Caenorhabditis elegans: one gene and its partners. The protein of the gene in region 2 interacts with the protein of the main gene of each other region in a pairwise test. Each region holds a gene or a part of one and is shown on either strand. Other genes may lie near its edges. The genes, in order: hmp-1, athp-1, gldi-8 and ztf-31.

What was found.
Region 1: the proteins of athp-1 (region 2) and hmp-1 interact in a two-hybrid assay, tested with the Caenorhabditis elegans proteins (one large-scale study listed by BioGRID).
Region 3: the proteins of athp-1 (region 2) and gldi-8 interact in a two-hybrid assay, tested with the Caenorhabditis elegans proteins (one large-scale study listed by BioGRID).
Region 4: the proteins of athp-1 (region 2) and ztf-31 interact in a two-hybrid assay, tested with the Caenorhabditis elegans proteins (one large-scale study listed by BioGRID).

What each region holds. Positions count from the first base shown.
Region 1 is NC_003283.11:11,844,120-11,854,043, reverse strand, and holds hmp-1 (Vinculin), read right to left. Parts: upstream 8,168-9,924; 5' UTR 8,167-8,167; coding exon 7,783-8,166; intron 7,739-7,782; coding exon 7,283-7,738; intron 7,237-7,282; coding exon 7,033-7,236; intron 6,961-7,032; exon of another isoform or gene 6,738-6,960; intron 6,638-6,737; coding exon 6,107-6,637; intron 6,005-6,106; coding exon 5,177-6,004; intron 4,694-5,176; coding exon 4,553-4,693; coding exon of another isoform or gene 4,505-4,552; exon of another isoform or gene 4,256-4,504; coding exon of another isoform or gene 4,148-4,255; exon of another isoform or gene 3,264-4,147; coding exon 3,163-3,263; intron 2,422-3,162; coding exon 2,274-2,421; 3' UTR 1,879-2,273; downstream 1-1,878. UniProt on the Caenorhabditis elegans protein: Required for cell migration during body enclosure and cell shape changes during body elongation. Required for proper localization of other junctional components, such as pac-1.
Region 2 is NC_003281.10:10,878,935-10,885,936, forward strand, and holds the start of athp-1 (PHD-type domain-containing protein), read left to right. Parts: upstream 1-2,831; 5' UTR 2,832-3,029; intron 3,030-3,426; 5' UTR 3,427-3,435; coding exon 3,436-3,501; intron 3,502-3,552; coding exon 3,553-3,684; intron 3,685-4,250; coding exon 4,251-4,622; intron 4,623-5,156; coding exon 5,157-5,263; intron 5,264-6,273; coding exon 6,274-6,554; intron 6,555-7,002. Other genes in the region: C44B9.3 (C2 domain-containing protein), read right to left, coding at 1-9, 390-635, 1,054-1,161.
Region 3 is NC_003281.10:12,594,286-12,601,634, forward strand, and holds gldi-8 (C2H2-type domain-containing protein), read right to left. Parts: upstream 4,400-7,349; 5' UTR 4,244-4,399; coding exon 4,142-4,243; exon of another isoform or gene 3,881-4,141; coding exon 3,650-3,880; intron 3,604-3,649; coding exon 2,881-3,603; intron 2,097-2,880; coding exon 1,860-2,096; 3' UTR 1,709-1,859; downstream 1-1,708. Other genes in the region: epc-1 (Enhancer of polycomb-like protein), read right to left, coding at 6,189-6,255, 6,605-6,834.
Region 4 is NC_003281.10:7,239,429-7,245,617, forward strand, and holds ztf-31 (C2H2-type domain-containing protein), read left to right. Parts: upstream 1-1,936; 5' UTR 1,937-1,961; coding exon 1,962-1,999; intron 2,000-2,053; coding exon 2,054-2,245; intron 2,246-2,290; coding exon 2,291-2,498; intron 2,499-3,085; coding exon 3,086-3,208; intron 3,209-3,255; coding exon 3,256-3,345; intron 3,346-3,415; coding exon 3,416-3,472; 3' UTR 3,473-3,522; downstream 3,523-6,189. Other genes in the region: pars-1 (proline--tRNA ligase), read left to right, coding at 1-397, 516-1,087, 1,134-1,340, 1,385-1,673; osm-10 (Major sperm protein), read left to right, coding at 3,935-3,967, 4,074-4,509, 4,563-4,630, 5,090-5,239, 5,300-5,710, 5,839-6,000.

The DNA of each region.
Region 1 (9,924 bases), on a different chromosome or scaffold from region 2:
ACGAATGTTCATGAGTCTAGTATTTACTTCTTGTGTCAAATTCTCCAAAAAAGTGGAAAAACTCCAGAAACTTCCACAAAAGCAGGGGGTCATTTTTTATTTATTACGAAATGAGCACGTGGTAAGTGCTCAAGGAAACAACAACTGTCTGGTTCAACTAAAATTGTACCGAAATAAAAATATTCTTATCTAACTAGTTAAGAAAACGGAAACTGATTACTGCGTTGATAACGAACGATATGAATAGAATTCGAAGAGGAGGAACTTCTCTTCCGGTTCAGTGTTTTTGGTCAGGCAGGTTTTATTAAATATCATTTACTATATATATAGCGCTTATTCCGTTTGTCCATAGTTTGTAGTCTATGTACTCTTTGTAGTCTGCGAAGTTTTAACTTCTGGAGAGATAGTGAGTTGGGGTTAGTGTAGGGATATAGTCGAGGTACTGTAGTGGTACAATGGTGGTACGGTAGGAGTACTGTATGATTACGGTAGTTTCAGAAAAAATGGTTTTCAGCTCCAGAAGTCGGGGGCCGCGCCGGAGGTGCGGTCCACGGCTGGTATTTAATATTTGGCTTAATGCGCTAATCGAATTTTAGTTTTACCAATATTTGTTATAGTTTTCGTGATAAACAGGAACAATAAGTAGACAAGACAACTTTTAAAAACACTGGAATAAGTCATAAAATAATTACTAGATAGATAAAATTCAAAATATTCAAAATTGAACAATAAGTTTGCTATGAGATTTAATGGAGTACAAACCTGGGTGTTCAATTTAAAATATGAGGATATCCAGATGAGAAATCTCAGTTTACTAAATAGATCAAGTGAGCAAGTTCTCTATAATGTGGCAAATTAAAATATCTTTAAAAAAACCCATTTTTCATATACAGGTATTTTTAAGGGTATTCAAAATAAGGAGACAATGATCAAACATAACTGATTTTTGAAATGTTGCGAGACCAGCGTTCTTCAGAAGAGCGCAATTGCATAAAACAGTCAGAGTTTCCTAATTCTAGCTAGACCTTTGGAAATCCGGGCAACACTTATTTTGGTAGAATGACGTCACTATATATCTTCTACATGATTGACTGTACCAAGTGGTCGTGACTTCGGAACACTCAAAAATGAGGCTGCCACATTTTGGAGATTTGTAGAGTTACTGTACTTTGTAACGTAGTTCTACTAACAAGTTTCTAAATAAGATGTTCTATGGTCATCCAAAACAATGACGAGAGACAAAAAACCAGCCAACTTTCGCCCCAAAATAATGAGACTAATAAGGACGCTGGAGCAAGATGAGCGTACAAAATAGTACTAATTAGTATTTGGGTCACCACCATCACTTTGTCTCTCGAAAGAAAAATAAGTTGAATATTCTAGAATCTCGTTGGAAATTCTGTAAGCAGCGTTCCATACACTTTAGGCACGCGATTTCCAGGATTTTTCTGCAGCAACAGCAGCAAAAAAAAAAACGGAAAACCCGGAGGCGTAAGCTTTCAGGAAATTAAAAAGTAACTCGCCGCGTGTGCAAACACGGAAATGCGCAGGAAATTAGGGAATTGAAATTGGGTCTTGAAGCGAAAACATGGGTGGCAATATGGGAATGTGTGAAAATAGTAGGGGATATCCATTTGGGAAGTCTCTCTTGAAGAAAAAAACAATTATGTCCTCCTCCCTTTCTGTTGCTAGTAGTCCAGGAGAAGAGAATAAGGGGAAAAGCAAAACGTAGTACAAATGAAGAAGGAGGCGAGGGTGGAAGGAGAGTTGTTGCACACACTTCCGTTTAGTACCAGCTGCTCGTAATGCTCAGGCACAACAATTTTGACGGTGCCAGATGTACGAGACCTTTTTGATGTCTATATACATAATAAAAATAGGAAAGAATTGAGTTCATCTAATTTGAAAAACTTGTGCACATAGATCAGGGAGTTTAGAAATCAGAATCATACAGAAAAAATCGTTGAAAGGGTGAGGTTGATAGTGCGAAAATAAATTGTAAAGATGTAAAGTTACCTGATTTTCAACAGTATGGATTATGATATTCATGGGGGAGAAAAATGAAAAATGCGGTGATAATGGTGGCGGTGATGAGCTGATAGAATTTAGAGCATTAAACAGAAATGAATACAAAAAATACACAGATACAAATTTCTAGCTGAAGAGAATTGAAAGAATGAGAAAATAATAAAGACTCGGGCATATAAAGGATGTGTGGAAAGATTTGGAAGGGAAAAGTATGAAGATACATGAATAAAACTGAAATAAATTATCTATAAACGACCGTTTATTCTTTGTTGATGCCGGCGATCAAGTTCCTCGTCGTCACTATCACGACCCGTCTCAATCTCGTTACGCGTAAACTCGGCGAGCACTTTAGCTGGTTGCAAAGGTCGCCGTTCGGATGCCCGTCTGCAAACTCTTTATAACATTAGTCGGCGTTCGTTGAATACATCTTTTGAAAGGGGGATTCTAATTAATTTTCTGTAATGGAATAGATAATGATCAAGAATTAGTGATCACCTATCACGGGAACACCAACTTCTGAGTATGCGTATTGCACAACATATTTTTGACGAGCAAAATATCTCGTAGCGAAAACTACAGTAATTATTGTAATGACTACTGTAGCGCTTGTGTCGATTTACGGGGTGCATCTCAAAATCGTAAAATTTAGTTTAATAGGTTTAAAAAATGTCTGAAATCTTATCAAAAATTTTTTCAGGGGGGGAAAATTTTCTGAAAGAAAAGAAAAATTGTGTTTTTTGATGCTTTAAAACTTTCATTTCAATGTCCGAAATCATCCAACTATTCATCACTTTTTATGAACATTGTCGCTTTTTTTTTGCTTTCCGAAAACTCAATTTGCATTTATGATCCTCAAGGGATACACTTTTGCTCAACAAGTCAAGAATATACATTTTGGTGTCGCAGCTCTTTCGGCTTTCACCACTTTTACCACAAAAAAAGGGACTTGGGACTACTGACAATGGCAGCTACGTGCCATTTTCTGGTGGCAGTGCTATTTTTTATGAATTATTCAGGGACCGACTACTTTTTTTCACATGGCTTCTCAATGAAGTGTGTCATATGTCCTTTTGCAGGCAAAGGAAACACTTATAGAGGGATCCTTGATTCAAAAAAAATAGATGAAAACGTTACCTGATTATAGCATTATTCTTTTGTGGTCGAATTAGTGGTTGTTTCTTTGGTGGAGCCATTCGCCACTCGACACGTACACTGTTGGCATTAGGACGACGGAACTGCAAGAATAAGGATGAGTTTCAGGAAGTTATCAGCAAAGAATTCCAAGCATTCGAGCAATTTAAGAAAATGAAACCAACAGCAAACAACATCGAGACACTTTTCATCAACAATAACACATATTTTACGTTCGTATCAATTTCTTTCAAGTTTTTTTTTCAACTTAATCTTCTTTTCTTAGTTAAAGTTGCAATACAATCTAGTTTAAAATGTATGAGTTTTTTACGGGGGAGTATAAGATCACAAGACCGACATATTGGGGGATCGATGTCCACACATCAAGACCGATACAATGCATTTTTAGAAAGTTAAATGTTTTTTTGTTGGGAAAACGATTTTTAAGTGTGAAGGGAAAATAAGAAAGGGATGTCCTTACCAATTTGAATTAACATATTTAACTGGAATTGTTTTCTTTTTTTTGGAATATAATGAAAATTAATTTGTATTTTCTAGGATTCAGGAAATCTATAAAAATCTGAGATTTTGCTTTTAATTTTTGGCTAAATTCCATGTTTGAATTCGCACCAAACTGAGAGAATTCAAATAGGGAATCGCCAAAAATTGAAAAATCTGATTTTCGAAAATTCGACATTTCATTCTTTCTCTTTTTTGGGTATTTCTGAGAATCAAACTATTCTGGATTTTTTTAAAGCAAAATCCCTACTCCATTAAAAAAAAATCGTCAAACATTAATAGTCTTAACCACTGATTTGAACTCAAGACATAAGCTTTTTTTAACTATAAAAAATATTTACCATTAAATTACGCAGCAGCCAACGTAAATTTTGAGAAAAAAGCAAAAAATTAAATTCGACATGCTCAATATCTCTTTTTCTCAAAAACAACATCGATAAAACCACACAACACGATATTTAATGCTTTCTCATTTTTTCTCACCAGATTCATCCATCGGACTTTCATAATTAATAGCTTTGTGAGCATCGCTAAGCGCAACGGCTGATTCGACTCGAGCACGTTCGCGTTGTGCACACTATTGAGAATGTTTTTTTTTTTTTTTAATTTTATTTATTTAATTTTCTAAAACTTTTGGGTACACTTTCTAAAATCTCAAAATTCAGTGTACAAAAGGCAACTGGTCTATTGGCACTTTAAACCACGTGTCTACTCAAAAGAGTGGGCGAAATACCATCTGATTTGAAATGAATTACGTAAGCAGCCGTTATCGTCTGTACGAAAAAAGAAATGTGTGATAAATGCTGGAAAGCAATAGTATCAGACATCAAGTGGGAATAATAATTAATGTTTTGTTTAAAGAAAGGGAACCAACCTTGGTACTGGCAATGTATGCAGCTTTAACAGTCTGTACAACAGCAGTTAAAAGATTTCGAGCCGTTTGAATAAGAGACATTGCAGAGTCAAGTGCAGATACGACAAGCTCATTTCCAACTTGAGTCACATCAGCTTTCACCTGAAATATTACTTTCTATTAAAAGTTTAAAGTTATATTTCACATGGTTTTTTGAAAGCAATTTAAACAAAACTTATTTATAGTAAGTATATGAACAATTTTCTAGTATAAGTGAGGCCAATCACAATTTTTTTTTCATTTTTCATGGCTTCAGTCTAGAGCTTGGTTCGCAAAAAAAACGCGAAGTAAAATTATATCTCTACTGAAATCGTTAAAAACAGTTGAAACCTCTTTTGGTGAAATATCACACTATCTATAAGTTTTTTTTTTTAATTCTCAATTTTTTCAAAAACTTTTCAGATAATTCTGAAAAATACGAGATTCTTTTCAGTTTTAGTTTTTATAGACGCGTTTTTAATTGTGAATCTTTACAATTTTCTTGAAAAACTAATTTGACAAATTTAAAAAACCCCCGAAACAAACAATTGACCAAAAACATTTGGTACGCTTTTACAGCTCGTGGCACCAATTAAAAAAACTCACCTTACTACAAATATTCAGTTGCTGACAATATAGAGTGATTTGTGACAAATATGCGAGCAAATCCTTTTTCGTCTGCGAATCAGCACTTTCTTCTCCAATCTGCCGTGCCAATGCATTTAGTTTTGATCCATTAAGTGAGATTTCTTGTGCTGCTCGGATAACATCCATTGTCGTTTTCAATGGCCCACAACCTCTTGTGAATTCTGTCATACTCATCATAATCTTACACATATTATTGGCCAATGATATAATATCATTTCCTGTTTCATCCCACTTGGCAACTTCTCTTTCGAATCGTGTTTGTGTTACTTTGAAGATATCAATTTGTGCTTGAATTTTCTTTTTCTCTTCTTCTGGCAATCGTCTCATCAGATTCTGTTGATTTTCTTGTTCGGATATCGTACGATTAGCATCTGCATTTGCTGCACCAACACCATCAGCTTCATACTCTACATCCGAATCAACATCATTCATACTTCGGTTCATTAAAAGTGCATGTCGAATGTCTTTAACTGCATCGTGAACTAATGTACAAGCATTGATAAATTCATTCATTTCTTCTTCCTTTGTTTTTGGATCCCATGTAAGTCCGTGTGCTTCTTGACGGTTGGCTAAAGCGCTCGCACGCTCAGCGAATTGATCTACACGTTGAGTTTTCAAAATCCGAACAGCTTGCTTAACAGTTTCAGTGTATTCAGAGTTCTGAAGGAAGTCCATTTCAGCATCGACAACGTCACAGACTCGGAGAGCTCGTCCACGTATCGATCCGGCAGCACAGTCGACAGTTTCACAGTTGGCCGCATTTTCATCCGGTGTTGAAGCGTTTGCCTGGAAAATTCAGTTTGAACGTCTCAAAAGTTGACGAATTTAGCGAAAACTATTTTTGTTAATTTTCATTAAATTTAAAATTTTGAGAACTAAAATACTTACCGTGATACCTTTGATTCCCCGCTCACAGTCTTCAACAATATGTGCTTCACTGACAGCCAAAAAGTCGTCCAAAGTAGTGATATTGTCAAGAGCAGTCGTTAACAATCTCACTTTGTCAAACCAAGCATTTTTATAGGTTTCCATGTTCTCTTGAGCAGTTTTTGAAGTAGGTTGATGGCAAAGTAAGATGGCAGCTTGAGCAACTTGTGGAGCAAGTTTTTCAAGTTGAGCAGCCGTATGCTGAATGACACTAACACTTTCAACATCTGATGAAAGTTGACAAGAAAGACGAGCAACTGAAACAATTTCATTTGCATGCTCTTGGAACATCTTTGAACGATATCTTGTATTCTCTTCATGGCCTTCTTTAGCAGCTTCTATCAGTAAAATAAGCGGTGTACGGGTATCCAGGAAAGCATCACTTATATGATCTACAATTGCACGACGAAGGTGTCGCCGGAGATCTTTTGTTCTTTTGTGTACTTCTGCGATTCCAAGAGGAATATCATCATTATCATCTCTTCGGCCGGTCTGAAAAATTACAGATTTAAAACATAGTTAAACAGGTCGTAATAAGCTTTAAATTTTATTGTAAAAACTTTGTAGTCTCTATATTTTCTACTACTACAAATTTTTTAAAGAATTTCCCCGAAATTCTAAAAAAAACATTTTCCATGTCTGAACTCGCGGTGGTCATTTTTTTTTCTAAAAAACGGCTTTAGTTCGAGTTCGGTTAACAAACAAAAACAGTTGTTCTCGCCCTGAGGGACAAGGCGTCACACTTGAAAGAACGCACGATTGTTTGTTTGTTTGTTCTCACCGTCTCCATCGCCCTTTTGTGAAAAAGATGCGCTTCTTTGAATGTTTTTTATTTCTTTTTATTTTAAACGAGGCAACAAGTCAAGAGATCAATAGAAAAAACTTACAGATTTTTCATATTCGGTCAAAAGTTCTTGAAGAGCTTGCCGCAAATTATTGCATTCAGCAACAATTTTTTGTTTTCGATTTTCACGAGTGCTTTCAGCATCGGCAATTGAAGCAGAACCACTAACAATTCGTTCACAATGTCCTTCAAGATCTGGACGATCAGTTCCTCGACGATAATGGGCTGGATCAATTTCGATTCGATTCTTAAAATAAATTATTTGTCTTATTATTTGAAATTTTTAAACTCACTTGAAAAGTATCGATTTCATTGATAAGATCGCCTATTCTTCCATATTCAGAAAATGTTACTTTCGGTTGTTGTCCGTTTAAAACAGATTCAAGAGCATTTAAAGCAGAATGCATTTCATCTGCAGTGTAATCACGATTTCTTCGAGCTTCTTCATGTTCTGGATGTCTTACAAATGTTCGTGTTGAAGTATACAGAAGTGGTGCAGTCTGTCGAAGTGCTGATCTTGCTGCTAGAAGATCATCTCTCTGATTTGGTTTAACCAAATCAATGGCTCGTCGTCGAACAGTGATATCAAGTTCTTCGATTTGAGAAATGAGAAGATTGTACAAATCATCTACTTTGATTTTTGTATCCGCTTCAATCATTTGGTGTGCAGTTTCTCGAACTTCATCTACTTTATCAACTATCACTTTTACATCAATCGAGTCGGCAAGAATTAGGAATTTAGCGACAGCCTGAATACAACATTTTTCAGTTAAAAGAGTACCTAAAAACTTACAGTCAACAAATTTCTACCAGAATTCGTTGCAATAGCTCGTTTGTTTGTTGAAGTTGAATCTCTGACAAAATCTCTTCCAGTTTGAATCATCACTTGCCCAGTATCTTGAACTGCTCCAAGAGCTTCGTGCAATAAATCAATTGCGCGTGGATCACTGTTTGCAATTGGGCATTTCGAAATTGCAAAGCTTCCCGTTTGAAGAAAATTAGCAACGGCAGCATCAAGAGTGGCGACAAGTCCTTCAGTAGTTTGTCCAGGTTTTAACGGAAACGTTTCAGTGATGTTGGTCACTTCATTGATTAATTGAGTAATTTGTTTCAAAACATTTTTCGAGCGCACTTCGTCGATGTTGAAATACGCATGAGAATTGCCATTCGCAGGCATTCTGAAAATTAATAAAATTGAAAATTCAGATTAGAATGCAAATAAAACGAAGAGAAATAATATTTATATTGAGATGAAATCAAAAAATATAAAAAGAAATACATAACCTTACATTAAAGTATCGATTAGAACTACTGTTAGATTTGAAGGCGCACGATAAAGAAGGGGTGGTTGGTCTCAAAGAGATCCAAGAGGGTACTGTCACCGTTAAACTTTATTGGCAAACACAGAATTTACTTATTCTTTGAGAAAATGACTCATATAAAATAAAAATCTTTACTCTAACTTTTCAAAAATTAAAAATTAAATTTTCAATGAAAAAAATAAAAAATCCTTTCGCAAAATAGCGAGAAACAAGTGTGGTGGGGCCTGTGAGGCCTTTCGGGTGTTTACTCAACGAAAAAACAAAACAATTAATAGGGGATTATGTTTCACATGCCGGCAATTTAGGAAATAACTATTTTTTAAATAAAATTTAAGAAAAAAACAAATTCGAAAATTAAAATTTCGACCGAAAATGAAGAAACTTAGTTTTTATTTGCCATGTTGAATATATGTTTCACACTCAAAAATTTTCAAATAAAAAAGTTGCGAAGCCAAAAAGTCACAAAAAGCAAACTTTTGAGGTATTTGCGAGTGAGAAGTGAATATGGTGAAAACGATGATTCCGCACCATCAACCGGTGTACGAAGACACTGTTAAATATAGAGAGAAAGAAGACACATAAAGAAATGATGATTCAGTCGGGTTGGCCGGTCGGTCAGTCAGCGGGTGACGAGTGAGCGGAGAGAAGGGTATAAGAACGGACGAGCGGCGGGAATAGAGGACGAAGAGGCAAGGACACTGGTCAATGGAGATGAAGAGACACAGACATTGGGACGGACGGAAGCAGGACGGTTCCCTTCGGGATGAGCAGAGACTCGACAGATGGAGAAGATGACCGAATTGAGTTTGTTTGCCCGACTCCCATGGATTATAAAATTGGGTACGTATGGCCTATGTTGGGGCAACTGCAGCAGCAGCGTGTGAGTGTGCGCCCCGGAAATAAAGGACTTTTATGGAAGGAGTATTGAGAAGATGATGGAAAAGGGACAAAAAGTTTCCCTTTTGTTTTGACGTCTTCTACGTCTTATTCGGAGATTTCGAGGGATAATTCTGAGGGATATGGAAGGACAGTGAATTGATGCATCATCATCATATTCTTATATTGGGTATTGAAATTTAAATTTGAATACGACCGAAACAATTTCTCGTTTCAAAAAAGTGGAATCTGAGTCATAGAGAAGTCTGAATCACGTTTTGTACACGGCAGCAGCTGTTTGTAAACTTTGAATCGCGGGGGTGAACTGAAGTGAAAAAAAAGAAAAAAAACTAGGAAAAATCAGGGAAAGTACATTTTTGAGATTGCATTTTTCTGAGAACCTGAACTTTCTCAGATGATATCAACAACATTATTAATCACTGCAACACGATCTGTGCTATTGTAAAAATATGTTCAATAATAATTTGATTTAGAGTCTATTTTGTCCCAATTTTAAGAGGTTTCTCCTGTCTAAACTTTCATAGACAATTTACGGAAATCTAGTAACTGTTGCCGGCTTATTGAACTTTTTCACTGGAGTTACTAAGATACTTATAGAATTTTTACGAAGTGTGGCCAAGATGTTCCTCAATTCAGCTTGACCCCAGGTAGTAATTTTTAGGAACCTTTCCAGTTTACATTTAAAAAGTTTTGACCAATTAAAAAAAATTAGTTGT
Region 2 (7,002 bases):
ACCTTGGATCTGGAAATTTTGGGGATTTTGGAACAAAATTAGACTTAAAATTCAATTTTTAATGGGGTTTTTAGCAAGAAGGTTCGAAATAAAATAAAAATATTCAATTAAATATCAAAATCTTGTTTTTCTATTCGAATTTTTGTGAATTTTGCAAAAAAAAGGCGGAAAAACCGTGCCATTATTTTTTTGGAATATTTTGAAATATTTCATTTTTTCAGCTAAAATCTGATTTTTTCGCTAGCTTCGAATTTTTTATAAGAATTTTTTTATTCTAGCTTTTTTTTCGATTCGAAAACTAGGTTTTTAATTAAAATTCACAACAAAATCCGCCGAATTTTTCCGAATTTTTTGCCTGAAAAATCTGAAATTTAGATCAATTTTCTAACCTGCAGTGTTCTTTCCAAAAACTCTGGCGTTTCCCCAGTAGAATTCTGGAAAACCCGAATATATCCAGATCGATCACAAGTTCTAGCCAATCCATATACAGGATCCACTGAAACAAATTGAATAGATACCATCCAATCATTTAATCGTCCTTTTGGCCAATGGGTTACTGTAGGTCGAGCGATTCCATTTATATACTCGAAACTTGATGAACGACGTTCGTGGTGGGGAAGGATTCGTTCGTCGAGCTGGAAAATACTGAATTAATTTTTTTTCAAAGTGATCTACTAAACCGCGCTCCTTTAATGGCCCGAAACTACCAAAAATTCTGCTAAAATTTGAAATTTTGGAATTTGTTTTCGAAACTTTTTTACCATTGTATTGGGCTTTTTTTGGGTCGCAGTGAAGAAGTAAAATTTTGAATTTTCAAAGAAAAAAACCAAAAATCGAGTAATTTTATGGCAAAGATGTATATTTTGCGATAGATTTTTCGGGGAAAAATGGTGTTTTAAAACATATTTTTGACGCGAAGTTCAAGGAAAATTGACTTTTTCGGCAAAATTGGTTGTAAAAACTCTGAAATTAGCGCGAAAATTAACCAATTATGTTTTTTTCCAAAACTTTTGGACTATTTTTCAAGGAATCTTATAAATTTCCAAAACTCACAGTCATATAGCTCATAGTTGCACATCCACTAGTCTCTGTACCCCATGAGGTCTCATCAATTGGACATGGTTTCCGTTCCACAGAGAGAACATTCACGTGGAGCCACATTTCAGAGATGACCGGGCTCACGGAGCACACCAATAATAGTAGAATTCCATAGAAGATGGGCGACGACATTTTAGTGTAGAGTGTGTGTCTGAAAGAAGGATTTTTTGTTGAAAATCAGGAAAAAAAACGGAAAAAAATTAAAAATTATTTTAAAAAAGTTGCAAATAAATCAAAAACTGCCATTTTTTCAATTTTTCGGAGAGAAAATCGAGAAAATGCAACTTTTTCTGCAGAAAAATATTCAAAAATTCAAAATTTTTCCAATTTTTCGGTGTTTTAGAGAAAATTTCAATTTTTACTTCGGAAAAAAATTTTTTCTGCAACTCGAGGAAATCGTTTTTTTAATACGACCAGAAAGGAATTTTAGGAAAATTGGAAAATTCTGAAGCTTTCAGAAAATTGAAAATTGCCAATTTTTTGAAGAGAAAAGCTAAAAAATTAAGATTTTCCCCAAAAAAATATAGGTTTTTTCGAATTTTTAAAAAAATTTCAATTCAGAACCAAACATTTTCGGTGATTTTTCAATAATTATTTTTCGAAATTTGGAAAAATCCAAAAAAAAGTGTGAATTTCAGTGAGAAAAAAAAAGCTAATTTCTGCAGAAAACAGTGAAAATTTGAGAATTCTAGGAAATATCGAAATAAAAAAAAGAATGTCGATTTTATCGGATAAAATAATACATCGACATACTTTGAGAGACTGGAATAAGAATAACACAATGACTGACTAATTGGATGCATGGTCAGGTAGAAGGAGGAAGGGGGTGTCACCTAATTATAGGCGGAGCTGGAATTACAGAGCGTCTCGAGAGATGGTTATCTTGTCGAAGGACGGGATTAGCACCTTTTACAACGTGTAGATGTCTATTGAAAGAACAAAGGATTTGATTTGTGATGGGCTGAAGATTAAGATGTTTATTGCCTTGTTTTGGAGCTTTATCTGGGCAAAAGATAAGATTTTTTTATACAAAATTCGAATTTTTGACGAAAAACGTAATAAATAATTGGATTATAGAGGATTATAGACCCAAAATGTGCTCGAAATCTGAAATTTTGTCCATTTGTCTGAGTTGCAGTAGTTGATGGAAGGTATACCTATTATAATTTGGTAGATGCACAAAAGTTGGCAGGTGTGTGGTGCACACATATCGACCGTAAATGTACCAAAAAAACACAAAAAGTATGCAAAAACAGCTACTTCACTGACAAGTAAACAAAATTTAAGATTTTAGGTTATTTTTTGCGATTTTGATTCTATTTTCAATTGAGGAGCAGTAAATAGCGGTTCTGGGTACTAAAAATGTGCTTATTTTTGTTTATTTTCCGCTTGAATTCATTTTTTCAACCCAGAGGTACCACACAACATCATCTCACTACATTTTTTGTGATATATCAAATATAATATGATTTTAAAAAAATTGAAAATACTTTTAATGGAAAATCTGACAGAAACCAAGATAAAAAACTACAAAAAACTGGGAAGAACTGGGAAAAAATTTTTTAAAAAAGTTTTCTAAAATTAAAACTACAGTACACTTTGTTCAAGGCGCATGTGCCGTTTATAACATCGTGGCGAGACCCTCGCCGAAACTCTGTCCATGCTGCTTATGATTACTGTAGTTTATTTATTGTTTAATTTTCTTAAATCTTTTATTTGTTCAATTTCCTCGTTTTCCTTCGCTTTTGTTCCAATTTTCTGTTGAAAAAAGTATATTCATAACAAAAATTATTTCTTTCTTTCCAAACAAGCCAAAAACAAGGCCATAAACCGGAAATAGCCGACAAAAGAAGTGGAGATGAGTTTTAGGGTTCGAATAGGACTGCCGATGGTTTACAATGCCGATTGTGACTGTGGAGATGGCTGTAAAGGTGCGAATAGTGATTCTTTTCAAGTTAGCCGCTGGAAATTTCTCTGAAAATCTGAAATTTTACCTGAAATCTGAAATTAAATTCAAAGAAATGCGTGAAATTATAAATTTTTATGAATTTTCTTCAATTTCCCCTAAGAAATCAAGATTTTATCCGTAATTTCCGAAATTATAGGAAAAAACCTAATTTTTTTCGGCTTGACGCAACTGCGCTCCATTGCGAATTACGAAGAAATAGTATGTGAATCGAGGAGGGCACAGACAGCTAGACATCATGCTTCTCATGAAAATTCATTCGAATTTCTGCGATTTCTATGACGATTTTTCATTTTTTCTTTGATATTTTAATTTAAAATGCATTTAAAAAATCATTTCTCATTGATTTTCTTAGTTTTCAGAAAATATCAATGCAGAAAAAAGAGAAAGAAGGCCGAAGAAAGCTGAAATACGACTCAAACGACGGTCTTCTGCCGGTAAAATTGGCAAATTTTCACTTTTTCGCCTCAAATTCCAAATTTTTGTAGGAAATTCGCCGAGTTTGCGGTTTTCCACACCACATTTCCGAAGAATTGTCGGCGAGAGGGTCTGGAAAGAAGAAAAAGCAAGTGGAGGAAGAATGGAAATGGCCTGAAGCTCAAATATGCGGAATTTGCTCTGTAAATACATTGATTATTTGGAAAAATATTGGAAAAAACTAATTTTTCCCTGAAAAAGGCAGAAAAATTGCAAAAAATCATCAAATCTTTGAAAATTTCGATTCAGAACTGGAGTTTAAAGTAAAAAAACCAGATAATGCTGAAATTATTTGATTTTTTAAAAAAGTTTTTAGTCCAAAAGAGCTGCAAAATTCGAATTTTTGATGATTTTAGCATTTTCAGAATAAAAATTCCCTTTTAAAAATTTATTATAGGCCTAGGTTCAGGCTTGGGCTTAGGCTTGGGCTTGAGCTAAAGCTTAGGCCTAGGCTTATGCCTTTAGGCTTAAGCTTAGGCTAAGGCTTATGCGTAGGCTTGGGCTTAGGCTTGAGCTAAAGCATAGGCCTAGGCTTAGGCTTAGGCCTAGGTTCAGGCTTGGGCTTAGGCGTAGGCTTAGGCTCATTATATTATTTTTGCAAAATTGGAAAAAAAAATCCCAAATTTTAGAAAAATCTCTCCACTGAATTCATAAATTTTCAATAAAAAAATGCCCAGATTTCCAAATAATTTTCCATGTTTTTTTGCAGTCCGGCGGTAACATTCTATGCTGTGAACAGTGTCCAGCATCCTTTCATCTTGCTTGTATTGGATACGAATCATCCGATCTTCCAGACGACAATTTTTACTGTAATCGATGTAGAAATCTTCCGGAAAACGTTCGGCTCTTTCCACCGGAAAAGTGCTCGCCGTCTGTAAATCCAGTGCTCCGAGTTGAAAATGAAAATCACCGAAATTGGGAAGCTATTGAATATCATTGTAATCGACTTAGAGATGAGGAACAGGCCGAGAAAATGAAAAAAGATGTTGCTTATGGGCCAAAAAGTGAATTTGCAGAAATTCAAGACTGTTTTCGGGATAAAAATCTACTGAAAGCACTTGGAATGGCTAATCCCATGGATGTAAGGGAGTTTTTTCAAAAAAATGAATTAATGCTTCAATTGAAAAATTAATGAAAATCGAAAATTCTGGATTTTTTAAAATTTAATTTTTTTTTTTAATTTTCGATAAAAATAGTTTTAAAAAATGCGAAATTTTATTAGCAGAAAATATTTAAAACACTTTTTCTCCCGAAAAACGTTGAAATTTTCGGCGTTCGATCCGATTTTCGGGAAAAAAGTGAAAAAAAAATTAGAAAAATCGGGATTTTTAACACTGTAGGATAGGATAGAAACAGAAAAAAACACAATTTATTTGCAGAAAAATGTACAAATATTTTTGAGTATTTTCGACCTTTTTTCCTGAAAATTATCGTTCTTGAGACCATTTTTCCGATAAAAATATTAAAAATAACGCTTTTTTAATTCTTGTTTCGAGTTTTTGTGAAAATTCTTTATTTCTGTGTCCTTCAAAAATTTCCAATTTTACAATAATTTTCTCGAGAAACCTAGATATTATTCCAAACATTTATAAATAATTTTTCCAACATTTTTCAGTATACAATACCACCGGAATTCCAAGCAGATCGTGATTGTTTCTCTGGTGATGCAATGGAAGACAAGAGGCCAACTATAATGGGAGAAGTGTGTGCTGAGTGCAATTTGTACGTTTTCGTAGCAAAAATGGACCTAAAGTGCCAAAAAAAAGAGGAGTTTCCTACCAGAAAGTATTGAAATTGAGCGATTTTCTCTCGAAAAATATCCGAAATTTTTCTTCAAAAAAAATCATTTTCGATTCTTAAAATGATCTCAAAATCTGAACTTTTAGATTTTTTTCTGAAAAACACGATAGAAAAATCAAAAAGAAAAATCAAAAATCAAAAAATTTCGTTTTTCGATTTTCCGATTTTCCAAAAATTAGCTTCACATTTTGGACATTATTCTTATTTTTAGAAGAAATTTGGATTTTTTTCTTACAAATATAAGCAAAATTAAATAAAAAATCGAATTTTATGGTTAATTTTCTGAACATTTTTTTCAATTTTTCGATGTTTCGATTTTCACTGAAAAACATCGAAAAATCGAAAAATGGCACCCTTGATCCCTTCTTGAAACTCCAATTATTATTTTTTTTGCAGAAAAGACGACTGGACACGAATGCTAAAATGTGACTTTTGTGATCTAATTTGGCATCAAAAATGTGTTTTTTTTCTGGAAAAAAAGTTTTAGCTAATTCAAAAAGTCAAGATTTTAAAATCTTAATTTTTTTTTGAAAATCAAAAAATCACCTGAAAAAGACAGAAATTACCTATTGAAGAAAAATAACATATAGTTTTCGAATATTATGTGATTTTCAATTGTTAAGAAAAATTCAATATTTTTTCTGAAAAATTCTGAAAAAAGTAAATTTTAATTTAAAAAAAAAATTTTCTGTAAATTTTCTGAAATAAATTTTGTAGTTGAGGAAAAATTTCAAAAATGTTCCGAAAAATTTTCTTAAAAATTTCAAAAAACTTTCGGAAAAACTTCAAATCAACTAGTTGATAGAATGAGAAAACTTAGAAATTTGTAAATTCCCTTAAAAATGCAGAAAATAAGCAAAGGTAGGCAGGCATCAGGCCCTGAAACCGCGCCTGCCTACCATATAATTTAAAACTCCAATTATTTTTTGCAGAAAAGACGACTGGACACGAATGCTAAAATGTGACTTTTGTGACCTGATATGGCATCAAAAATGTGTAACACCTCCACTTATTCATGTTCGTGCATATTTCTATTGGATGTGTCCAAGACATCCAGAAACTGTCATTGATAGTGTTTTAATTGGTGATGAGATTTCACGAGAAGATCGTCGACGGCTTTATGATAAATATGCTGATGTTGAGCCGAGCTACGAGATTTTTGAGGAATTTTGTATTAAAACTGAACAATTTCGAATGAAATCGGAGGTTTTTGGTGAGGTTTTGCTTACTGAAAATCTTTTTTAAAAAACTTGAAATTTCTAGAAATATTAAAAAAATTTTCTAATGTTTTGGATTTCTTCAAAAATCGTTTTTTTTTTAATTTTTAAAAAAATAGAAAAATGCTAAAAACTGGGAAACTTTTAGATTTTTCCCAGGAAAAATGCCAAAAATCAGAAATTTTCAAATTTGTTTCTGAAAAATGCAAAAAACTTTGAGGTTTTCAATTTTTTCCAAAAAAAAATCTCCGAAATTCCGAAATATTTAGATTTTTACATAAAAAACAGAAAAATCTTTAAAATTTTCAATTTTTTCAAAAAAATGCTAAAAAACTCGGAAAATTTTAATTTAAAAAAATATGAAAAATTCCGAAATATTTAGATTTTTCTAAATAGTTACAGAAAAAATCAATTTTTTCTAATGTTTTGGATTTCTTCAAAAAC
Region 3 (7,349 bases), 1.7 Mb from region 2:
GTGCCCAACTGGAATAAAATATAGGAAATCCTTATGACACACTTAAGCCTAAGGGCCCGAAAAAAAAACTAGGATGCCCAACTGGAATAAAATATTGGAAATCCTTATGACACACCGGCGGAATGGCGCGGCTTAAGCCTAAATAGCCACTTTTATCAAAATACATTTGAGCGAGGCGGCTGTAAACTATTCGTTCTTTAGCAAAAATAAAAAAAAAACTTTATTTAAATTTAAAAATAAATATCATATGTTATCAGACCTTAGAATATCACGCCTTAATTTAGTAATCATTTTTACTTCATAAATGTGAGAGAAAGAAAAATGGATTAATCATCGGAATTAAATATCATCAGAGTGATTATATTCATCAAATGTCTCACTTTATTGGAGGATTAATTTGGTTGATATAAAATTCCTATTTCATGTAAAGAAAGGTTCGAATTCTGTACCTATGAATGCTGTCGATATTTGAATTCCTATCTTATGGGAAGAAGGCCTTTCTTGTGGGAAAAACGGAGTTATAAAAAAATATACGCAGGTACAGAATTTGAACTTTTCTTCCCATGAGATGGGAATTTGAATATTGGCATTCAATAACTTCACTAAGAAAAAAAATCTCCAAAGGTTGATCGCAAATATGTAGAGATTGCTCGCATCCCTTCAAATATTACAAAATTTTCAAGTTTCTTAGAAATAATCTTCATTTAGATTACTGAAAAATATCCACAGATTACTTTTGAGTTGCCTGAGAAGTCAAAGTAAAACGCAAGACGAGCTCAAATGTATTTTGATAAAAGTGGCTATTTAGGCTTAAGCCGCGCCATACCGCCGGTGTGTCATAAGGATTTCCAATATTTTATTCCAGTTGGGCATCCTAGTATGTTTTTCGGGCCTTTAGGCTTAAGTGTGTCATAGGTACAGAATTCGAACCTTTCTTTACATGAGATAGGAATTTTATATCAACCAAATTAACCCTCCAGTAGAGTGGGACCTTTGATGAATATAATCACTCTGATGATATTTAATTCCGATGATTAATCCATTTTTCTTTCTCTCACATTTATGAAGTAAAAATGATTACTAAATTAAGGCGTGATATTCTAAGGTGTGATAACATATGATATTTATTTTTAAATTTAAATAAAGTTTTTTTTTTAATTTTTGCTAAAGAACGAATAGTTTACAGCCGCCTCGCTCAAATGTATTTTGATAAAAGTGGCTATTTAGGCTTAAGCCGCGCCATACCGCCGGTGTGTCATAAGGATTTCCTATATTTTATTCCAGTTGGGCACCCTAAGTCTAAATAGCTCTTTTTCTTTTCTTTTGCGCTCCAAGCGCAAGGAAAAACCTTCTTGTAACTTTTTAAGAGGGTTTCATATATTTTATTAAAATCGGGGCGAAGCCCTGATTTTAATAAAATATATGAAAAATCTCTACATAGCGTCAGTGGGGGAGCGTTAGCTAAGCCAAAAAAAAAAAAAAGCCAAAACCAAAGCCTAAGCCAAAGCACAAGCCTAAGCCCAAACCTAAGCTTTAGTCAAAGCCTGAAATCAAGCCTAAGCCTAATTCTAAGCCAAAGCCTAATCCTAATATTAAGCCTGTTCGTAAAACTAGGCCTGTTCTCGGTGAGACAACTACCCAATATTTTTCAATGTCATCAAGCTTGAAATCCGCTGGCTGGAATTAATTTGCAGAGGAATAGGCTTCACGCATTTTAATTCATTTATTGTGTTGAAATCTCTACATGAATATCTAGTAAACTCGGTTGGAACCCGTTCGGACCGGTATTTTGAAAATAAAGGGGGGGGGGGAGGTGGGAAAATTACAGCAAAATCTTGAACATTTGAATCTAGAGAAATTTAGAAAATATCGTCCATTTCCGGTAATTCTTCCAATGCTGATCGAGATTTGGGCGCATCCTTCTCATGAACTCTTTTGATGTGCTTCCTCAATTCTGATGGAACCGGATAGGATTTGTGGCAAATTGTGCATTCAAAGCGATTGGATTGTGAATGAACACGAGCCTTGTGTGTTGACAAAGCGGTGACCGTTGTGAATCGTTTTCCGCATTCAATGCAAGCATATGGATGCTTGGGCTGAAAATTTTAAATTTTAATTCATTAATTTTAAATTTTCATTCATTAAAGGTGGAGTAGCGACAGTGGGGAAATTGCTTTAAAACATGCCTATGGGGTCACAATGACCGAATATCATGATAAAAAAAATTCAAAAAAAAAATTAAAAATTTTATATGATTTTTTGAAAATTGAAAAAAAATCTCGAATTGCATCAATTTCCCATTTAAACTTCCCGCCAAGTGATTTTATCGATGGAGCGCGCTTGCTCGTTTTTATTTTAATTTATTGTTATTTTTTCTTATTTTTCGCCGATTTTTCATGTTTTCAGTGTATTTTTATGAGAAATTTGAAGAAAAAGCCAAAATAATGCAAATTCTCGATTAAAAATCAACTTTACAAGCGTAAATCTGTGAAATCAAATACTACTGGCTCCAAATCGTTTAAAAGTGGTACTTCTTCGTTTTTACGCTTGCAAAGTTGATTTTTAATCGAGAATTTGCATTATTTTGACTTTTTCTTCAAATTTCTCATAAAATTACACTGAAAACATGAAAAATCGGCGAAAAATAAGAAAAAATAACAATAAATTAAAATAAAAACGAGCAAGCGCGCTCCATCGATAAAATCACTTGGCGGGAGGTTTAAATGGGAATTTGATGCAATTCGAGATTTTTTCAATTTTCAAAAAATAATATAAAATCTAGAATTTTTTATCATGATATTCGGTCATTGTGGTACCATAGTCGTGTTTTAAAGCAATTTCCCCACTGAGCGTAGTCCACCTTTAAATTCTTATCCTTACCGATTCAGCGCTAATGTATCTCACAGCCGTGACATTTGGATCGTTCTTGGCATCTGGATGTTTTCTACCAACATGCCGGAGCATTGATTGTCGGCTCGCGAAGCTCTCTCCACACACTTGACACGATTTATCCCTATAGGAGACTGGGCTTGTGATTGGCCCAGGCTGACAGCTTGAGAATGATGCATAACTGACGGTGGAAAGAGCTGGGCTTGACGGCAAACTTTGTACTTTCAGAATCTTCGATACTCGCTGTTTTTCAATAATTTTCTCCCTATTCTTGCAGTACCATTCGTGAGTTTTGACAGATGTTGATGGGAATAGCTCCTTGCAAATCGAGCACGGCGCCTTCCATACTTCAAGTTCATCCGCATCCTCTTGATGATGCCGGATTATGTGACTTTGCAACGATTTTTCAGATTGAAAGACCAGTGAGCAGTTGTCGCATTGGATTTCCTTGAGATGGAGGGCCATATGAGCATCAAGGTTCTTCTTGCGCTTATAAGCTTTTCCGCACAGCTTACAACGATGCTTTAATCTAGACAAATCATGCACTTGATCAGTGTGAATCTGGAGAGCTTCAGCGTTCGGGAATGCTTTCGAGCACATAACGCAAGTGAAAATCGATCCAGCAGTGTGTGGCTTCAACAGAGAATCTTCCAGCTGTTGCTTTTGCTCGACTTTCCATTGTGATTGGCTCATTCGGATAAGCGATTGAAGTTCCTGGAATAAAAAGTTTCAGTTGCAAATTAAAAAAAAATAATCTTACCTTCGCCTTCTGCTCAAGCTTCTCATCTCCAGAATCGTTTAGCCTGCGCTCGATCCTTTCTTGGAGGTCTTGATAAGCGTCTTTCCGTTCGTAAGGATACTTGATTTGGACATCTTCCTCTTCCTCGTCTTCGGATTCAACTTCTTCAGCTACCTCGGGAACTCTTCGGTCTTCCGGCTCAAATTCCAATTCTTCAATGAGTTTTTGGAATTCATTGACATTTTTGTTCTTCTGAAAATAAAAAAATAAGTAAAATTGGTCGGCGGTAGTGAGAAGACCTCAGCATAAAGCATCTGAGTAGGTTTAATTTTCCCAAGTTTGAGTTTAGTTTTTTTGGTTGGTTTAATTGGTTTAATTACATTTTTGTTCGAGGATAAACATTGTCACTGACACACCCAATGGCTTCGAATAGTGTTTGCCGAAAAAACACAAGATTTGATCGAAAAAAAAGCCATTTTTAAAGAAATTTGACATTTTTTAATAAAGGATAACCGTTGAAAAGTTGTTAGCGTCCGCTTCAGAATTTGACGATGATGAGCAGCTTGTCACAGGAGTTAAATCAGCGTACGACATTGGATAATCGTAAATCTCCATTAAAAATGAAGAAATAGCGCAGAAAATTGACGAAACTGGTTGTGTGTTCACTTCGAAAATCGATGAGCGCGTGACGAAAGAGGGGGGAGACGCGTCGCGGTCGTGCGACGCGTGCAGCAATGCTTCGGTGTTTGCGGACTTGCTTACCGTATACCTGGAGAAAATTGCGATTTAAAAAAAAAATTTTACATAGTTTTTCTAGTAAAAAAAGGAAGAAAAAATGGATCTGTGCATTAATCCTTTAAATTTTCGTCCAAATATTTGATATAATTAAAAGAAAAACTCAAAATTTCTCTGAAAACCGCATATAATTTTGAAGAAACTATTACCATTAACTTTTTTTGCGCGCCGATACCCATCTGAAAAATATTGTGCACCTTTAAAAACACATTTTTAGACTGGAGAAAGAAAAAAATTCGATTTTTTTAAAACTGTTTTTGGAGAAAAAACCAAATTTTTTGAAACTACAGTACTCCTTAAAGGCGCATACCTTTTTCCGCATTTAACAAAAACAATTTTCGTGTCGAGACCCCCGGGGACCTTAGTTTTGGACTACAGTAATCTCAAAGTCCTATTCAATTGGATTGGAAAAACGAAAGGGAACAAAGAATTCTTCTTTTTTCACTTTTTCGACCTTTCTTCTCTGCGTCTCTCCGATATTCACACTATTTTTTATTTCAAAAAAGTATTGCACTTTTCATGGCCACCCACTATCTTTTTGGCGCCCAGGTGGCCTTGGGAGGGAAATTTTTTTTTTTTTTTAATTTTTCGAAAAATTTGAATTTTTATGTCTGTTTGCTTGTGTGTGTGCGTGTGTGTGTCTATAAAATGCAACAAAAATGTAGGTTCTTTTGATTTTTATGATTTTTTTGTCATTTTTTTTTTGAAATTCTTCAAGTTTTTTTTTTTTGTTTTTGCTGGTTTGTTGCTGGAAAAATGGGATATTCCAATCACAGGTATAGGGGATAGAAAAAAAGAGAAACAGAGAAAATGGGGGACAAAAAGAGAGAGGATTACCGCGTGCAGAGAGGTCGTTTGTGTGGTTTTTTGAATTTTTGTTGGAAAAATCTTTTAAAAAAATAATAGTAGGAGATTTCGAGAGAGAGAGAGAGAGCAAGTTTATTTATACAACAGTACTAATATTGAGGGGAAAATGGGAAAAAATTTTGATTTCGGGGGAATTTTTTGTTGAAAAAATCCAAAAAATCCAAAAATCCACACACAAAAAACCTCCCCGAACACAAAAATTACACCAAACAGTGGGGGGTGGGGAAAAAAAAAGACGACCTCGTAATTGTTAATGAGGGAAATAAAAATAGTTTCGAAGATCATTAAGAAGAGACTGAGAGAGAGAGTGGGATTGGGCGGCGGCGGGCGTTTCGCGGGACGAAAAATGAATCCCGCACGATGAAAAAAAAAAAATGAAAAAAAAAGGAAAAAGATAAAATAGGATATTTCAACTGTGAAAAAAAACAATAGAAAATGATGATGGGATGAGATTTTTCACAGCTCAAAAGCTTGAAACCCACAGAAAAAAAACAACGAATGGAGGGGAGGGGGGAATCATTTTTAAAAATATATATTACAGATATAAATGTGTACGTATATTATATTAAAAATGATTTTTTTTTAGAGAATAAAATACTACAGAAAACACGGCTCAAGTGAGAGTACCGAGATGATGAGACACATATTATTGGGTGGGTGGTTGCAATATTAAAGAATCGCAGATTTTTCCAGCGAATCTGATTATTCGGTCGGGGATTAGGCAGCGGACAGAGTGGGGGTGTAAATACATTGAAATATTTGAGAATCATGGGAGAGAGAGAGAGAGAGAGAGATATGCACAAAACAATGAATGACCATCAAAAAATCTCAGGAGGATTGAAAATTGGCGATGAGCAGCAGTAGCAGCAGTAGCAGAAGCAGCAGCAGAGAGTTCAAATTATAGACCGATTGTCGACGGCATCATGAACTTTTTCCGTTCCAGCAGTGTTACCGTTGACATCGAACTGAAAAAAAAATACGCGTTTTGAGAAATGTGCATTTTTTTTGTTCTTTTTCGGATATACTCCTCTGACAAAAAATAAAATTTCCTGAGCAAAGTAAAACTCCTACGTATTCTTGCATAGAAATTAAGGATCTTAAAGATTCTTGCTACTCAGAATTTTCTGAAAATTTCAATTTTTTAAAAAGAAAACTCAGAATTTTCTGAAAAATTCAATTTTTTAAAAATAAAACTTGCTCGAAATCAAATTCTCAACAAATTTTAATTTCAACAGTTTTTCAAAAACCGTGTAAAACTTTTCAAATTTGCTCTCAAAAATCAAAAAAAAAAAAAGCAAAGAAAAACTAACGAACTCTTTGATGGAATGATCTCGTGCTCCTCTAGCCGGCGATGGTTGTTGATCATCATCATCATCCACGCCATTCATCAATTTTTCCTTGAAAGCGACAGCTACCGCGTTGGCAACAACAACTGCATGCTGTTCTTGTGGCGTATAGCCACCCCATTCGGTTGATGAATTCGATTCTGATGGTGATCCACTCGGCTCTCTCCAATCATCTGAGTCCGACACCGTTCCGCACATCTGCAAAAAAGAAAATAGGAAAATGGGAATTTATTCGACTTTTTTCAAGATTTTTCAAGACAAGTTTAAAAAAAAATTCAAAATTGCTATAAAGGTGGTGTCTGTCGAATTTTTTAAAATTACTTTATTAGACTCAAAATTGTCTGAAAACACCGAATTTCATGATGAAACTTCTTAAAAACTTCTCAAAAAAAAGTTATGATGGCTCAAAAAATGGCCTAAAATAGTTAAAATTGGAAATTTGACTTGTCGCAGCGGCTGGAAACTAACTTTTTTAAAACCACAGTCAAATTTTGGGTATAAATGTCAATTATCTTGCGTTTTCAACTCGATTTAGGTAGTTTAAAGTCAATGGACGGCGAGAAAATGGACGGCTTTTAATTTTTTAACCAAATCTTGCCGTCCATCGACTTGAAAATACCAAAAATCGAGTTGAAAACGCAAAATAATTAAATTTTATACTCAAAATTTGACGGTGATTTCAAAAAAAAAAATTGTTTCCAGCCGTTGCGACA
Region 4 (6,189 bases), 3.6 Mb from region 2:
GAAAGATGATAACTATTCGGAATGGTACAGTGAAGTTATCACTAAGGCAGAAATGATCGAATACTATGATGTATCTGGTTGCTATGTTCTTAGACCATGGTCATTTGCAGTTTGGGAATCTATTCAAGAATGGTTTGATTCTGGAATTAAGAAATTAGGAGTGAAGAACTGCTACTTCCCAATGTTCGTATCAAATGCTGCCCTCGAACGCGAAAAGACTCATATTGCTGATTTTGCCCCAGAAGTTGCTTGGGTTACTCGTGCTGGAAACTCTGAAATGGCCGAACCAATCGCTATTCGCCCAACTTCAGAGACAGTTATGTACCCATCTTACAAGAAATGGGTTCAATCTCATCGCGATCTTCCAATCAAGTTGAACCAATGGTGCAATGTTGTTGTAAGTATTGATTTTTTAATTGAAATTAGTTAAAAATTTTTATAAATTTCTGTTGAATTTCTCCTAGCTGTCTTGCTCCACTGCAAAAATATTATCATAATACTTTTTTCCTTTACAGCGATGGGAGTTCAAGCATCCAACACCATTCCTTCGTACTCGTGAATTTCTCTGGCAAGAGGGACATACGGCTTTTGCCAACCCAGCAGACGCTGAAAAAGAGGTTTTCCAAATCCTTGATCTCTACGCAGGAGTCTACACTGATTTGCTCGCTATCCCAGTTGTGAAGGGACGAAAGAGTGAGAAGGAAAAGTTTGCTGGAGGAGATTTTACGACGACAGTCGAAGCATACGTGGCATGCAATGGTAGAGGAATCCAAGGAGCAACTTCTCACCATCTCGGACAAAATTTCTCCAAGATGTTTGATATTTCGTACGAGGATCCAGCGAAGGAAGGAGAACGAGCATTCGCTTGGCAAAATTCGTGGGGTCTTTCCACTCGTACCATTGGTGCAATGGTAATGATTCACGGAGATGACAAGGGATTAGTACTTCCACCAAGAGTTGCCGCTGTTCAAGTTATTGTTGTTCCAGTTGGATTCAAGACTGAGAACAAGCAATCGCTTTTCGATGCTGTTGATAAGGTTACCAAGGATTTGGTCGCGGATGGAGTAAAGGCTGAGCACGATTTGAGGTTTGAAATTAATAATGAATGCAGTTATGTACGTTTTTAATTACAGAGAAAACTACAATGCTGGCTGGAAGTTCAATCATTGGGAATTGAAAGGAGTCCCAATCCGTTTTGAGGTCGGACCAAATGATTTGGCAAAGAACCAGGTAACCGCTGTAATCCGTCACAACGGAGAGAAGAAACAACTTTCCCTGGAAGGACTGTCTAAAACTGTCAAATCTCTTCTTGATGAAATTCATACTGCTATGTACAATAAGTTGGTTAAAATTTTTAAAAGTTGAAATAAATTCCATACTTCAGGGTACTCGCTCAACGTGACTCTCACCTGAAGAGCACCACGTGCATCGAAGAATTCAAGAAGCTTCTTGACGAGAAGTGCATTATACTGTCCCCATTCTGTGGTCGTCCAGACTGTGAAGAGGAAATCAAGAAGGCATCAACAAGAGAAGACGGAGAAGGCGCACAGATGGGAGCCAAGACGTTATGTATTCCATTGGATCAACCAAAACAAGAACTTCCATCAAAATGTCTTTTCCCATCATGCACATACAATGCCAAGGCTTTCGCTCTGTTTGGAAGAAGTTATTAATTTTCACGTCTACGTCCCTAATAACTAAATATTCAGAAGCATAGTATTTATTCGTTGTCCTCTGTTTTTGCTATTTATTTTTTTTGGTGATTGTTTCATTTGTCTTCATACATCCTACTATTGCTCGTTTTTTTCATTTGTTCTGAATATCATTAAAAATAAAAATTAAAAATAAAATTAACAGAAAAAAAAGAACGTGGTGCCCTACATTGCGTGGTGGTATGTGGCAATGGGGTCAGGGGTGGGGAATGATGGAAAGAACATTTACACTTTTAGTTTTTTATATTAATGTCGTCATCCAGTGAATCCGATTCCGAAGGAGAACGGTAACATCATTTAACTTTAGATTTCCAGATATTTTCAGCGGTCTTAAATTTCAGAAAACTTCCTTTGTCGTATCGTAGAAAAAGACGACGTGATTCGAGTTCAACAACCAACTCCGAAGTATCCGATAATGATAGAAAAAAACGGCAAAACGAGAAGCGGAGAAGCCGTGAGTCATCCAAGATGAAGCATCAAAAAACGGCGAAACGGGACAAACCAATGTGGAAAGAGGAAGGAGAAATTTCATGGTGAGCACAGTTTTCATTGCATTAGAAGATTTCTTTCATTTTCAGTGACAGTGAGAGTGACGTCTGTAATTCCTCGAGTAGCAACAACCGGAGCCGCTGTCGTGATCGGCGAAGAAGAACTGATTACGGAAGAAGACGTCACAGAAATTCAGATTCTAGATCTCATGAGAGATGGAGTACTAGAAGAAGACAGACAACTCCAGAGGGAAATTTCAGATGTGATGAGTGTGGATGTAACCACTACACTTTGAAGGTAATTGACTATGGACACAAAAGTGCAAGCTTCTGACGTAATAGATGAAATAAGCATTATTGCATTGGTGACTCGGTTTGCAACAATATCACACAGTCGCAAAGTTTGCGATTTTCGCGCGAAGAATACGGTGCTCGGTCTCTATGCGACTGTTTTTGTTAAATTTTTTAAAAAGCGTGCGCCTTTGAAGAGTACTGTAATTTCAAAATTTTATTCTGCGGAATTTTCAGGAGTTTTTAAGAATAATTTTTCTCCAGATCTTTTGAGAGTTCTGGGGTTTATGGTTATATTTATTTTTTAAATATACTTCTATTGAAAAACTATCGTTTTAAATTCCGCAGAAACTAGATTTGGAAATTACAGTACTCTTTAAAGACGCGCGCCTTTTTGTATTGAGCAAAAATAAATGTCGTCTCGAGACCAGGAACCGTATTTTTGTGCAATAGTCGCAAAATTTCGCGTCTGTGTAATAGAAAGGTTTGAGTTTAATGGAATAACTCACTTTTGCTCAAAATTTCATATATTAAATTAGTAAACACCTCTGCAGCTTGACACCGACTGGCACACACAAAATATTAAACTTTCAGGGTCTAATCCATCACGAAATGAACGACCACAACCTCAATGCAAAATGTCATTTATGCCAGAAATCTTTCGAGAATAAGAAGACATTCCGTGAACACTGTGAATTGGATCACACACCGGAAGTGGTATGACAGTATTCATTAACAGATTCAATTTGAAATATTAATTTTAGGTTAGATGTGTATTCTGCAAAAGCTCATTCGATCAGCCACTGGAAATGAACGATGAACAATGGGCACACTTTTTCGCTCATATTTATGGGGTTAGTAATTCACCATTCGAATCTAGAAGTCGATTCTCCTGACTGACATTTTTAAAACCATTTTTTCCAGGAAATCCTCTACTCCCGCCTTGCCGACTACGAGGATCGTGCTTTGAACACTGCATGAATTATATATTTGATTCGATGGTTAGCTTAATAAAGAATTTTTCTGTTGTACTTCAACCTTTTTCTGAAATAGGAAATAATCACAAGTTGTCTGAAAAATGTGATCAGCTATCCAGATCAAACAGTGAAAATGTTGTCTGCAATGATTCATAGCTGAACATCTGAACTCTTAAATTTTCAGCGAATCATGATTTGCATTGTGATATATTATTCTTATGGTTGCAAAAGAAAAAAGATTACGAAAATATCTTGTGACAGAGTAAGAAACCATTGAAATTTAATTAATCACCGTGGAGACAGGTGTGCACTCTGCTCTTATTATATTATCAAAACGAGAAACGCGTGAGCAAGAAGTGGGCGTGACTTGGTAGAAAGGTACTTAATCGAGATGTTGAGCCAACTTTCGAGATTATTCTAAAAGTTTCCATATCAATAAACTTTTTTGGAAATTTCATCTTGCAAGATGTCGAAGGCAACGTCCGCGTGTTCTCAAAAGGTGAGATTTCTGAAATAATACTTAGGATTAAACTTGAAATTTTATCCACATAACTTTATCTAGGAAAAAACTTTTTCGATTTATGTTAGAACCTAATAAATTTCAGAAGACCTCTCTCCTGGATCCGAGTCCAAAAAAGTCATCTGTAATTGAAACAACAACCAAAAAAACTTCTGGGATTGAGTCCAAACTATTGCCAAATGAGCTTCCATCAACTGGAACAACTGGAACTAGCGGTGTTAAGAATGGGGCTTCAAGTCCAAAAACTAGCCCAGCAAAAACCACTACTACCACAACTACCGTAGTCACTCAAAAAGTTTCAAATCAACCAACTGCACCCATTTCAACACTTCCACCTCGTAAGCCAACAGCCCAAAAAAGTCGCGAATTGTCCCCTCCAAAAGCGAAGAAATCTCCGAGTCCAAGTCGTACTGGTTCAGGTGACTCTGGTTCAAGAAAGGAAAGCAGTGCATCCAGAAAAGATTCTTCGAAAACCGAAAAATTGGTCAAAGATTTGGAAAATGTCAAATTGGAGAAAGGAGGTAACAAACTCAGGCAACAATGGGCAAACTGAATACACTTAATTATATTTCAGATTCCCGTGAATCGGCTACTCTTCCAACTCCGAAGCAGTATCCAGCTTCGGACGATGAGGAAGACACGGTTAGTGGTTAAACCAAAACCTAGCTAGAGCTCATATTACTCCTCTTGAGTTCTGAAACTCGTGGCAACCTCTCTTTCAAAATTGTGATGGGAACACTCTGAACACACAAAATTATTCCATTCTTGTTTGTACATAGGAAAATGTGGCAACTTTATATTTCGGGTGTGTGAGGTCAAAATGACTTTTAGTGCATTTTTATTGCTGAAAAACATCCATGACAGCATATAAGTATACTTCCTGAATAGTGGATAGCCACACTTTTTAGCAATCAGTATTTACGAGTTTATTATTCACTCAGTCTTACTCAGAAGTCTCAGAAGTCTGAGAAGTCAGAAGTCTAACCACACTTAAATTTCCTCATCAAGTAAATTCTCTACGGTTGTGACAAGGTCTACTTAGAAAAATAACATGCACCTTCAAATTGGCGTTATTTCAATCACAAAAAATTAGTTTTACAGAAGGAAAGAAAATCACTTCGTTTTGGAACAACCACAGAATGGCAATCGGATAACTTGGAAGAGTTCTACAGAGAGCATGAGAAGTTTCCAAATGCAGAAGCCGTTAAGAAATTTGGGCAAATGTATTCAATGACTGAGCTCATTGCAGAGGTATATACATATAACACTTTAAGAGACAATCATCAACAATTCATACAAAGTGATCTTCAGACTTGGCTCGAAACTCGTCGCCAACAAACGTATCAGAAATACGTGGAAAAAGGTCTTCAAACAGATCCATCTGTCATTCAATTTTATTGTGAATCTCTGAAAATTGCCGAAGGTCTTCGTTTGGAAAATCCAAGTATTCAAACCAAATCATTCTTTTCCTTGAATGGAGTCAATGCTCTTGAACAGAAAAAAGAAGAAGAAGAGAAAATGCAACCAGTCATTTCAGTTTCATCTAACAAAGTTTTCATTAGTCCAAAAAAAGAGCAAAAGTGTCAGTTGACCATCAAAAATGACGGAGAAGTCAATGTAGTGTATCAGATAAGTATCATGAATGCGGCAAATTATGTCATGTCACCAATCTGTGCAATATTGCTTCCAAAAGAGGAATTGACACTTAATATCACAAGAAAGGTAGGTAACGAAAAATGTGTGTTTGGAATTATGCCGTCTGGACAAATCCCAGGTTTTCCAGGGAACATTCTGAATACTTATGATCACTGTTCGAAATTTCTAAAATTATCCGATAACTTTTTTTTCAGCCGGGAAAGCTTCTTGAAGAAGAGTTCTTCCGTATTGACTACGGTGTTGCTCCTGAAGGAATCATTGATGCACGTGATTCTTCTGATCGAGCAGAATTTACCAATCGGGAAATAATCGAAGTTGTCGAGATCGATGAAAAAGAAATGAAAATTGTCCGTTAATTAATTCATACTTGTATCAATCAAAACTTAGTTTGAAAGCACAAAAATTCCTTGATCAATTCAAAAATTACTTCTGTTTTTTTCGAAAGTTGTATTAACTTTGTATGAACTTGACATGAACCCTGCAAGTAATGTACTAATATGTACACTAAAATTCAATTATTCTCATGTCACCTTTCTTGTAAAATC